Linked DNA regions of Tribolium castaneum. The protein of the gene in region 1 binds, or shares a complex with, the protein of each later gene. Links are inferred from orthologs where the notes say so. Each region holds a gene or a part of one and is shown on either strand. Other genes may lie near its edges.

Region 1 (3,680 bases):
GAGTCCAGTTGACCAAATCAAAATAAATACATATTTTCAAGTATTGCTGGTTCGTAATTAATCAATATTGCCGGGAATCGATACTTACGTTCTGTTCCAAGGGCGCCGACCTGAAGTGGTTATCCATATAATGCGCCCCTTCCAACAACTGGAGAAAATTCTCGAACCCAATCGCCAGCGAAATACTAAGCCCGATAGCGGACCACAGGGAATACCTACCTCCAACCCAGTCCCAAAACTCAAACATATTGGCCGTATCGATGCCAAACTCCTTCACTTTCGGCCCATTTGTGCTCAAAGCAACGAAATGTTTAGCAACAGCAGCAGGCTAAAAACCCAGTTAAAACAACAAAAAATTGCATTTTTGCAAGCAAATTACATCTTTAGCATGGGTTAAGAACCACTGCTTGGCCGAAGTGGCATTGGTTATTGTCTCCTGTGTTGTGAATGTTTTCGAAGCAATGATAAAAAGTACAGACTCAGCGTCGATTTTTTTCAAAACTTCGGCTAAATGCGTACCGTCGATGTTCGACACGAAATGCATTCGCAAGCCGCGACCGTACGCCTTCAGGGCTTCGGTCACCATAAGGGGGCCCAGGTCGGAGCCCCCGATGCCAATATTCACCACGTCGGTGATGGGCTTGCCTGTGTAACTGAAAGCGAAAAAATTACCTGTTATTATGCAACAATAATTGAATTAATTACCCCTTCCACTGCCCGCTCAGGACCGAATTAGTGAACTGCTTCATGTGCTCCAGGACCGCATTCACCTCCGGCATCACATTTTTCCCATCGACTAGAATCGCCTGATTGGAGCGATTACGCAAAGCCGTGTGCAGTACGGCCCTGTCCTCTGTAAAGTTGATTTTCTGCCCGGAAAACATTGCATCGCGTGCATTTTCGACCTTGCGGGCGCGGGCCAAGGAAAACAACAGTTTGAGAACATCGGAATTGATGCGGTTTTTCGAATAATCGACCAGGATGTCGCCATCGTTGGGCGTTTTCAGCTTCAAGCTGAAAAAAAATCAAACAATAATATTATCTCAGTGGCCTCCGGTTAGTGAAAACAAACTCCAGTGCAAGGACGCGTAGAGGTCACTCGGCTTTTCCAATTTTCCGGGCGATTTTTCAATGAAACGCGCTTGACACTCACCTGAAGTTGTTGAAGCGGTTCGGGTCCTGGGCGAAAAGGTCCTTAATCACCAGCTTTGAGGCGTTCTTGTTGTAATAATCTTGGAGTTGTTGCCAAGTTGGCTCCGAAGTCAAGGGTCCGACTTCCATGCTGTCAGATGTCAAAGTCACGCCTTTCGATTGTTTGGCGATCGTTTTGTGTTTTTCATCGTCGCCGATTGGGCACGCGCAGCGCACGGTGTGATAAATACAAATTACATACTTCAGACGAGAAACTCTCATCTAATTATTGATTTCTCACAACTAATTTTAATTAATCAATCCACTTACCGCAAATTATTAATTAAACTTGAATTTGGATGCGTCATAGTGACAATGACAGGAATGACAGGGAAAAACAAACGCCAACTATGTTAAAAAAATTTATTCAATTTAATTCATTACAAAGCTAAACCTTATTTATTTCCTGCAACTTCTCGTCCTGGTATTTGTAGTGCAAGTCCATACAGTCGTTGTTATCAATATGCACCCAGCCGGTCGGCTTCATATGGTACACCCTGACGATACCACCAGAATAGGCGTCCCGATGGGTGGCATGGTAAATCGACCGGCGCCCCAAATCATACGCCTCCTCATCCGTCAAATCCCACTTGTACCCCGAATCCAGGACGCCAAACGCATAAATGGAGCCCGAGCCAACACTGAAGACTTTCCCAGGGGTTCTGGTCCCCTCCGAATCCACGTAATACAGCTGGGGCCCCTGAACAACAACACTGATCAAGCGGTCTAACTTGTTCAAATAAATACCCTTTTGTCCCATCCTGCCAGCATCATGCCCATTGACAGCCCCATCCCCTTGTAATTATACACCATGTTGGCCATCAGTTTCGAGGCGGCTGCGACCGAAATCCGCTCCCGGTTGCGTAATTCGTACATGCGGCACTGCTTAGCCAGGACGCGGTCCCAATACACACAGTCAGCGGCGCCCCCGGCCAAAGTCCCCAGGAGAAAATCATTGATTTCGACGATTTTCTTCATGGTTTGGGAGCCGATGAATTGGCCCCCCGTGGCTCGGGAGTCCACGGCGAGCACTACGCCCCCCTTGTACATGAACCCCAGCGTGGTGGTGCCGTGGTCAAACTTGATTTTGATGTCCCGACCTGACTCGTCCTTCGAGAAGTAGGCCAGGTTCTCGGCCGGCTGTCACAAATTTGTTATCTGGGGGTATTTTCAAGGGGCTACTTACGTTAGAATAGGGGGGTACGCTGAGCAAAGTGTTGTGGGTGAAGTTGTTGCTCATTTTGGCGATTTCGTTGTCGAAGGGGGCTTCGCGTCTGAAGGTGTCGAAGTCCGACATTCCGCAAATCTCGGCTAAAGCCATTTTGGGGCAGTTTTGTTTGGTTCAAATGACGGTGCGAAAACACAACTAGCACCTAACCTCTAATGTCAAATGGATGATGGTGGTGGTTATGGTGTGTAAAGTTACGTCTTGTTGTGAGAAAATGTCCCAATTCCAAGACGTGCAAAACCAGAAATCGTTTCAATACTTATACGAGGTGGAAACTCTAGCGCAAGACATTTTAACTGAAAAAGAAACAAAGTTGGATTTGTCCAATTCCAGGAATAAGTTTAGGGAAGCCCTGAGGGCCCTGGAGGGCACAGAGGACCGAAGGGCTTGGATGCAGCTCGGTTCAGTTTTTATTGAACGACCGACTAGTGAATGTAAGGAGATTTTAAAAACAGGTCCGCAAAAAATATTTTTTTTACAATATTCTGACCAAAGTTTTTTAGAAATTGCAAACGCTGATAAGGATATTTTAGAGTTGGATAAAAATATTAAGAGCAAAATCCATAAATTAAGGGATTTGGAACATGAACCAAGGTTAGAGGGCTTCACCTTGAAACCCATTTCCTCGGCAGAGGCTAAAGCGTTACATAAAGCGTTCGGTGCAGTGTAAATTAATTAAGATTTTGTCAGTCCCAAGTCCACAATTAAATAATTGTAAATACAAACGTTTCTCAAATTTATTGTTTGACACTTCTGACAGTTTAACCGGTTGAATCTAACCTCACCTTTTAATTTTTAATTCGATTTACGTAAAATTTCAAATGAAAGTTGCGGCCGGCTTTGTGATTTATAAAAAGGCCTGCGATAATATTTTGTATCTTTTATTGCAAACTTCGTATGGCGAACACCACTGGACCCCTCCTAAAGGTAACCTTCAGTTTTTCCTTTCAAAAATAATAATGTTTTGTCAGGGCATGTGGACCCTGGTGAGACTGAGATGGTGACTGCCCTTCGGGAAACGATGGAAGAGTCCGGTTTGAAGCAGGAAGATTTGAAAATCTTCGACGATGTGAAGAAAATTTTAAATTACAACGTAAAGGGGAAACCCAAGAAAGTTATTTACTGGCTTGCCGAACTCACAAACCCCAAGGCTGAGGTGAAATTATCAGAGGAGCACCAAGACTTCAAGTGGTTGAAACTCGACGACGCTTGCACTTATGCAAAATACGCCGACCTCCAAGAGTCGCTCCAGTTTTTCGAT
Region 2 (3,848 bases), on another chromosome or scaffold:
GTTAATCCTTAAAATTAACATGTTGGAATTTGTAACTTTATAAATTATTGAATACAATGAATTTAAAACAATTTATGTACGCTTGTGGTAAAGTGCTATTTTATGTACTCAAAAGAATTGATAAAGAAATAATGTATCATCTGATACAGAAAAAACGGTTGTGTGGCAGAGTGAATAAAGCGTTGCTATAAATATTTTATTTATTCTTTTGATTCATTTTATTGATTAAACTATTGTTTTATTAATCAGATTTAATTTATAAAATGAGTATTTTATTAATAGCATTGAATAAACGATTTATTTACCCAGCTTCTTGCTTCAAAATTTTCTCTTTTTCAGTTTTTTCATCTGAAATGGTTTTCAATTCTGCAATTAAACCGTCACGACTTTGTGTTAACTTCGCCTTGTCTTCTTCCACTTCTTTCACTTCAGCTTCTAAATCATGTCTGGAAAAAACGGGTTATAAATGGCACTCATTCCAAACAAACTCACAATTCTTTCTGATGCAAGAAATTCTTACAAACTGCAATTTTGTTCTCTGTTTTCAGAAAAGTAAGCGCTTCTTCCATAGGTCCCTTGAGTTGTTCCAACTGTTTTTCAATCAATGTGAGTCTGTTGAGTTTTTCAGTGCGCAAATCCGACAAATATTCTATTCTCTCATTTAATTGCTCCAAGGGTTTCTACAACAAATTTTTTTTTTTTGTGTTAAACTAATTAAACTTCTTACTTTGTATCTGTGTGTTCCAATGATATCTTCCAGATATTCCAACATTCCTATTTCGTTTTCATTTGCTCCTTTACATTTCATCATTGCGATTTCCTCAACTTCGCCCTAACAAAATTTCATTCAAAAATAAAGCACTTGAAGGAGAAATAATCGCAAACCTGCAAAATCAGAAACCTGTTAGTGTCGATATCAATTCCATGCCCCTTCAACAATTTCCCAATTTCCTTAAATTGGACTCTTCGTCCATTGAGCTCATAAAACGAACTGTTGTCTCTATTGGCAGTCCTTGACACGACAAATTCACTACCTGGAACAACCTCATACTCTTCCCCGGGCTAAAAACAATCACTTATTCACAATTTCATAAAATTAAGCCTTACCTTATCTACGATTTCACAAAAATGCACCGCCACATTGCAAGACTGAACATTAGGATACCGTTCAGAATTGTGAATCAACACTGATAATTTTTTGCACCTCATGCGAGTGGCCCTATATCCAAACACAAACAGCATCGAATCAATGACATTGCTCTTGCCGCTACCGTTGGGGCCAATGATGGCATTAAAACACTACAAAACACTCATTGTCTCTTGTCCAAACCGTCACAAACGTACCTTAGAGAAGGGCCCCAAAACTACATTTTCAGCGTAACTTTTAAAATAATTGTTCACGATCTTTGTGATTATTAAGCGAGTTTGCGACTTCTCGACGTTCCTACGTTTCAAAGGGGGCGGAATGTAAATATCATCCACATAAATACCCTCTTCGTCCGAAAAGTTCAAGTCTTCTTCGACTTGGCTGTTGTCTGGGTGTTCGCGCTTCTTTCCTCTGTTTTCCGTCATTTTTACACATACATAACATACAAGAAACTGCGGAACACAAGCATAACACAACTAAACTCGTTGAAAACACAAAGCACGAAGAAATTTCAAATTTTAACGGTTATGTTGCGTTGTTTTGTTTAGGGTGAAGTTAGTTGCATTATTTAATTCATGTATTAATACGGGTCGTGTAATAAGTGTAAATCGCCCCCTTATTTTCAGTAACTAACTGAGTTTAACGAAATACAGGATAATTATTCTTTTTTAGAGCGAAATAAATTTTTTGTCCTTAGTATATCTAGTTGGTGACGTAGAAATCCCTAGACGTGTGGGTGGTCGGCCTGTTTGATTTTGACGTTTGCCCAAAAAGGAAAAATTAAGATACACTTTTATATTTACTCCAAGATTATAAAACCGAGCAATGAGTGAAGATCTGCAAAGAAAAATCCAGTCGGAGCTGGACAGTTTCAAAAACACACAAAAAGGTACAATAATCTGGTTTTTTGTCCAACCTAACCAAACTTTTCCAGAGTTGCAAAAGGCGATTTCAACGAGACAACAATTAGACAGTCAGTTAAACGAAAATATGATTGTTAAAGACGAATTAGAAATCCTTCCTAAGGATGCTAAAGTGTACAAGTCCGTTGGTCCAGTCCTTATCAAAACTGAACTTGTTGAAGCTAGACAAAATGTGGGCAAACGAATGGATTATATCAAGAAAGAGATTTCGAGGGTTGATGATTTGATCACTTCGATTGAAAAGAAGCAAGATGTGCATAGGGAGGCGCTCCAAAAGCTGCAACATCAGTTTCAACAGGCGCAAGTGAAGGCTGCATTACATGCTTAATTTTGCGAAAAAATCACTTATTTATTAACACGTTTTGTAATACGAAAGAATAATAAAAATCTCGTTAACGCTTTATTTATTTAGTCAATTATCCACTGTTTCTGTTCAACCATGCTACAATGTGTTCAGCTTTACGAAGCCCTGTATACGTTATGGGATAGCCCCCTTTAAACAGTCTCAGTGCTGGAAAACCCCCAATTTCTTGTTCTCGAACTAATGCCTTCTCGACTGTCGCGTCCACTTGTCCCAGTTTAATTTTTGATTGTTGTTTCTCAAGAATCTTGCACACTTTTAAATACTCGGGGGCAAAAGCCTTGCAATGGCTACACCACGGCAGATAAAATTTAACCATTAAAAGTTCGTGATGACTGACCGCCTCTTTAAAATTAAATTGGTTCAAAATCAAAATTCCGTCTTCGGTGGGAAATTCATCTTTTTTACCACCCCCAAGAAAGGAAAACGTGGAACTGATTAAACCAAACGCCGACACGAAAGGGTGCAACATTTTGTGTAAAGTTAGCAGTAAGAAGGCCCCTTCAGCACACAACAGATTTTAAGCATTTTGACCTTGTTTTCAAATATCTCGAAAAATGTTAAAATTTGAAGGGAGCTGCCTTGTTTTTCTATTGCTCCGCTTCAGCACAAAAATGAATACGACTTCAGAGTCCTGTTTCACAAGGTTAACGCCTTTAAAAGAAAAACAGTACTTATTATTAAATTATTATTATTAAACTAATAATTTTAAAGAACATCAGGTAAAAAGGAATTGACGTTTAAAATCCGCGCAGTTTTGAATGTCAATTGTCAAATGTGCAAAAGATTGGTTAGGTTAGCCAAATTTTTAAAACGAAGTTAAAATAAATAAACAAATAATAACAATAATGAATATCCTCGACACGGTGTTGTGCACATCGAAAGCTGAAAAATATTCAAGCAATTTTAAACAATTCAGCATTGATGCATTCACTCTCAAATTGTTCAATGAAGAAGATTTAAAAATCTTGGGTATTGAGGAGGAAGAAATTCGATTAGCTGTTTTACAACATGCTAATAATTTACAAATACCTGCAGAGTATTTTTTACAACCGAATAATTACACAATTTCTAATGTTTTTTTTGCAGAAAACATACAGAGGTTTTGATAGATGAAAAATACGTACAATTAGTTTTAGCCCAAATGTCTATGCATTTGACGAAACATTTAGCTGCTCTTTCTATTGCAGTGAATAGAAGGGATACAATTGTGTGCAATGTTCAGTTGAAACCAGCTGCCCATTGTTTGCAAAAATGTGTAGAATCTTTAGAAAAACAATTAGACGAGTTTGAGCAAAAGGTAGTTTTGCAACACGTCTGAACTATAATTAATTTCTACTGTTGCAGATTGTTAGAAAAAACAGGAAGATATGGTACAAACAAATTCTCATTCCTATTATAATTCCATCACTTGTGT

The links.
Region 2: Pdrg1 (region 1) and Pfdn6 share a complex: the UniProt entries of both Homo sapiens proteins name them as parts of the PAQosome complex. The link is inferred for Tribolium castaneum from reciprocal best matches to the Homo sapiens genes PDRG1 and PFDN6.

What each region holds. Positions count from the first base shown.
Region 1 is NC_087396.1:22,906,389-22,910,068, forward strand, and holds Pdrg1 (p53 and DNA damage-regulated protein 1), read left to right. Parts: upstream 1-2,585; coding exon 2,586-2,874; intron 2,875-2,922; coding exon 2,923-3,089; 3' UTR 3,090-3,153; downstream 3,154-3,680. Other genes in the region: Pgi (glucose-6-phosphate isomerase), read right to left, coding at 89-328, 380-653, 706-1,014, 1,154-1,413; Prosbeta5 (proteasome subunit beta type-5), read right to left, coding at 1,580-1,891, 1,939-2,331, 2,378-2,512; Datp (bis(5'-nucleosyl)-tetraphosphatase [asymmetrical]), read left to right, coding at 3,241-3,346, 3,391-3,680. UniProt on the Homo sapiens protein: May play a role in chaperone-mediated protein folding.
Region 2 is NC_087394.1:25,216,622-25,220,469, forward strand, and holds Pfdn6 (prefoldin subunit 6), read left to right. Parts: upstream 1-1,835; 5' UTR 1,836-1,972; coding exon 1,973-2,036; intron 2,037-2,081; coding exon 2,082-2,398; 3' UTR 2,399-2,473; downstream 2,474-3,848. Other genes in the region: glu (structural maintenance of chromosomes protein 4), read right to left, coding at 306-446, 493-680, 728-832, 886-1,062, 1,108-1,299, 1,345-1,572. UniProt on the Homo sapiens protein: Binds specifically to cytosolic chaperonin (c-CPN) and transfers target proteins to it. Binds to nascent polypeptide chain and promotes folding in an environment in which there are many competing pathways for nonnative proteins.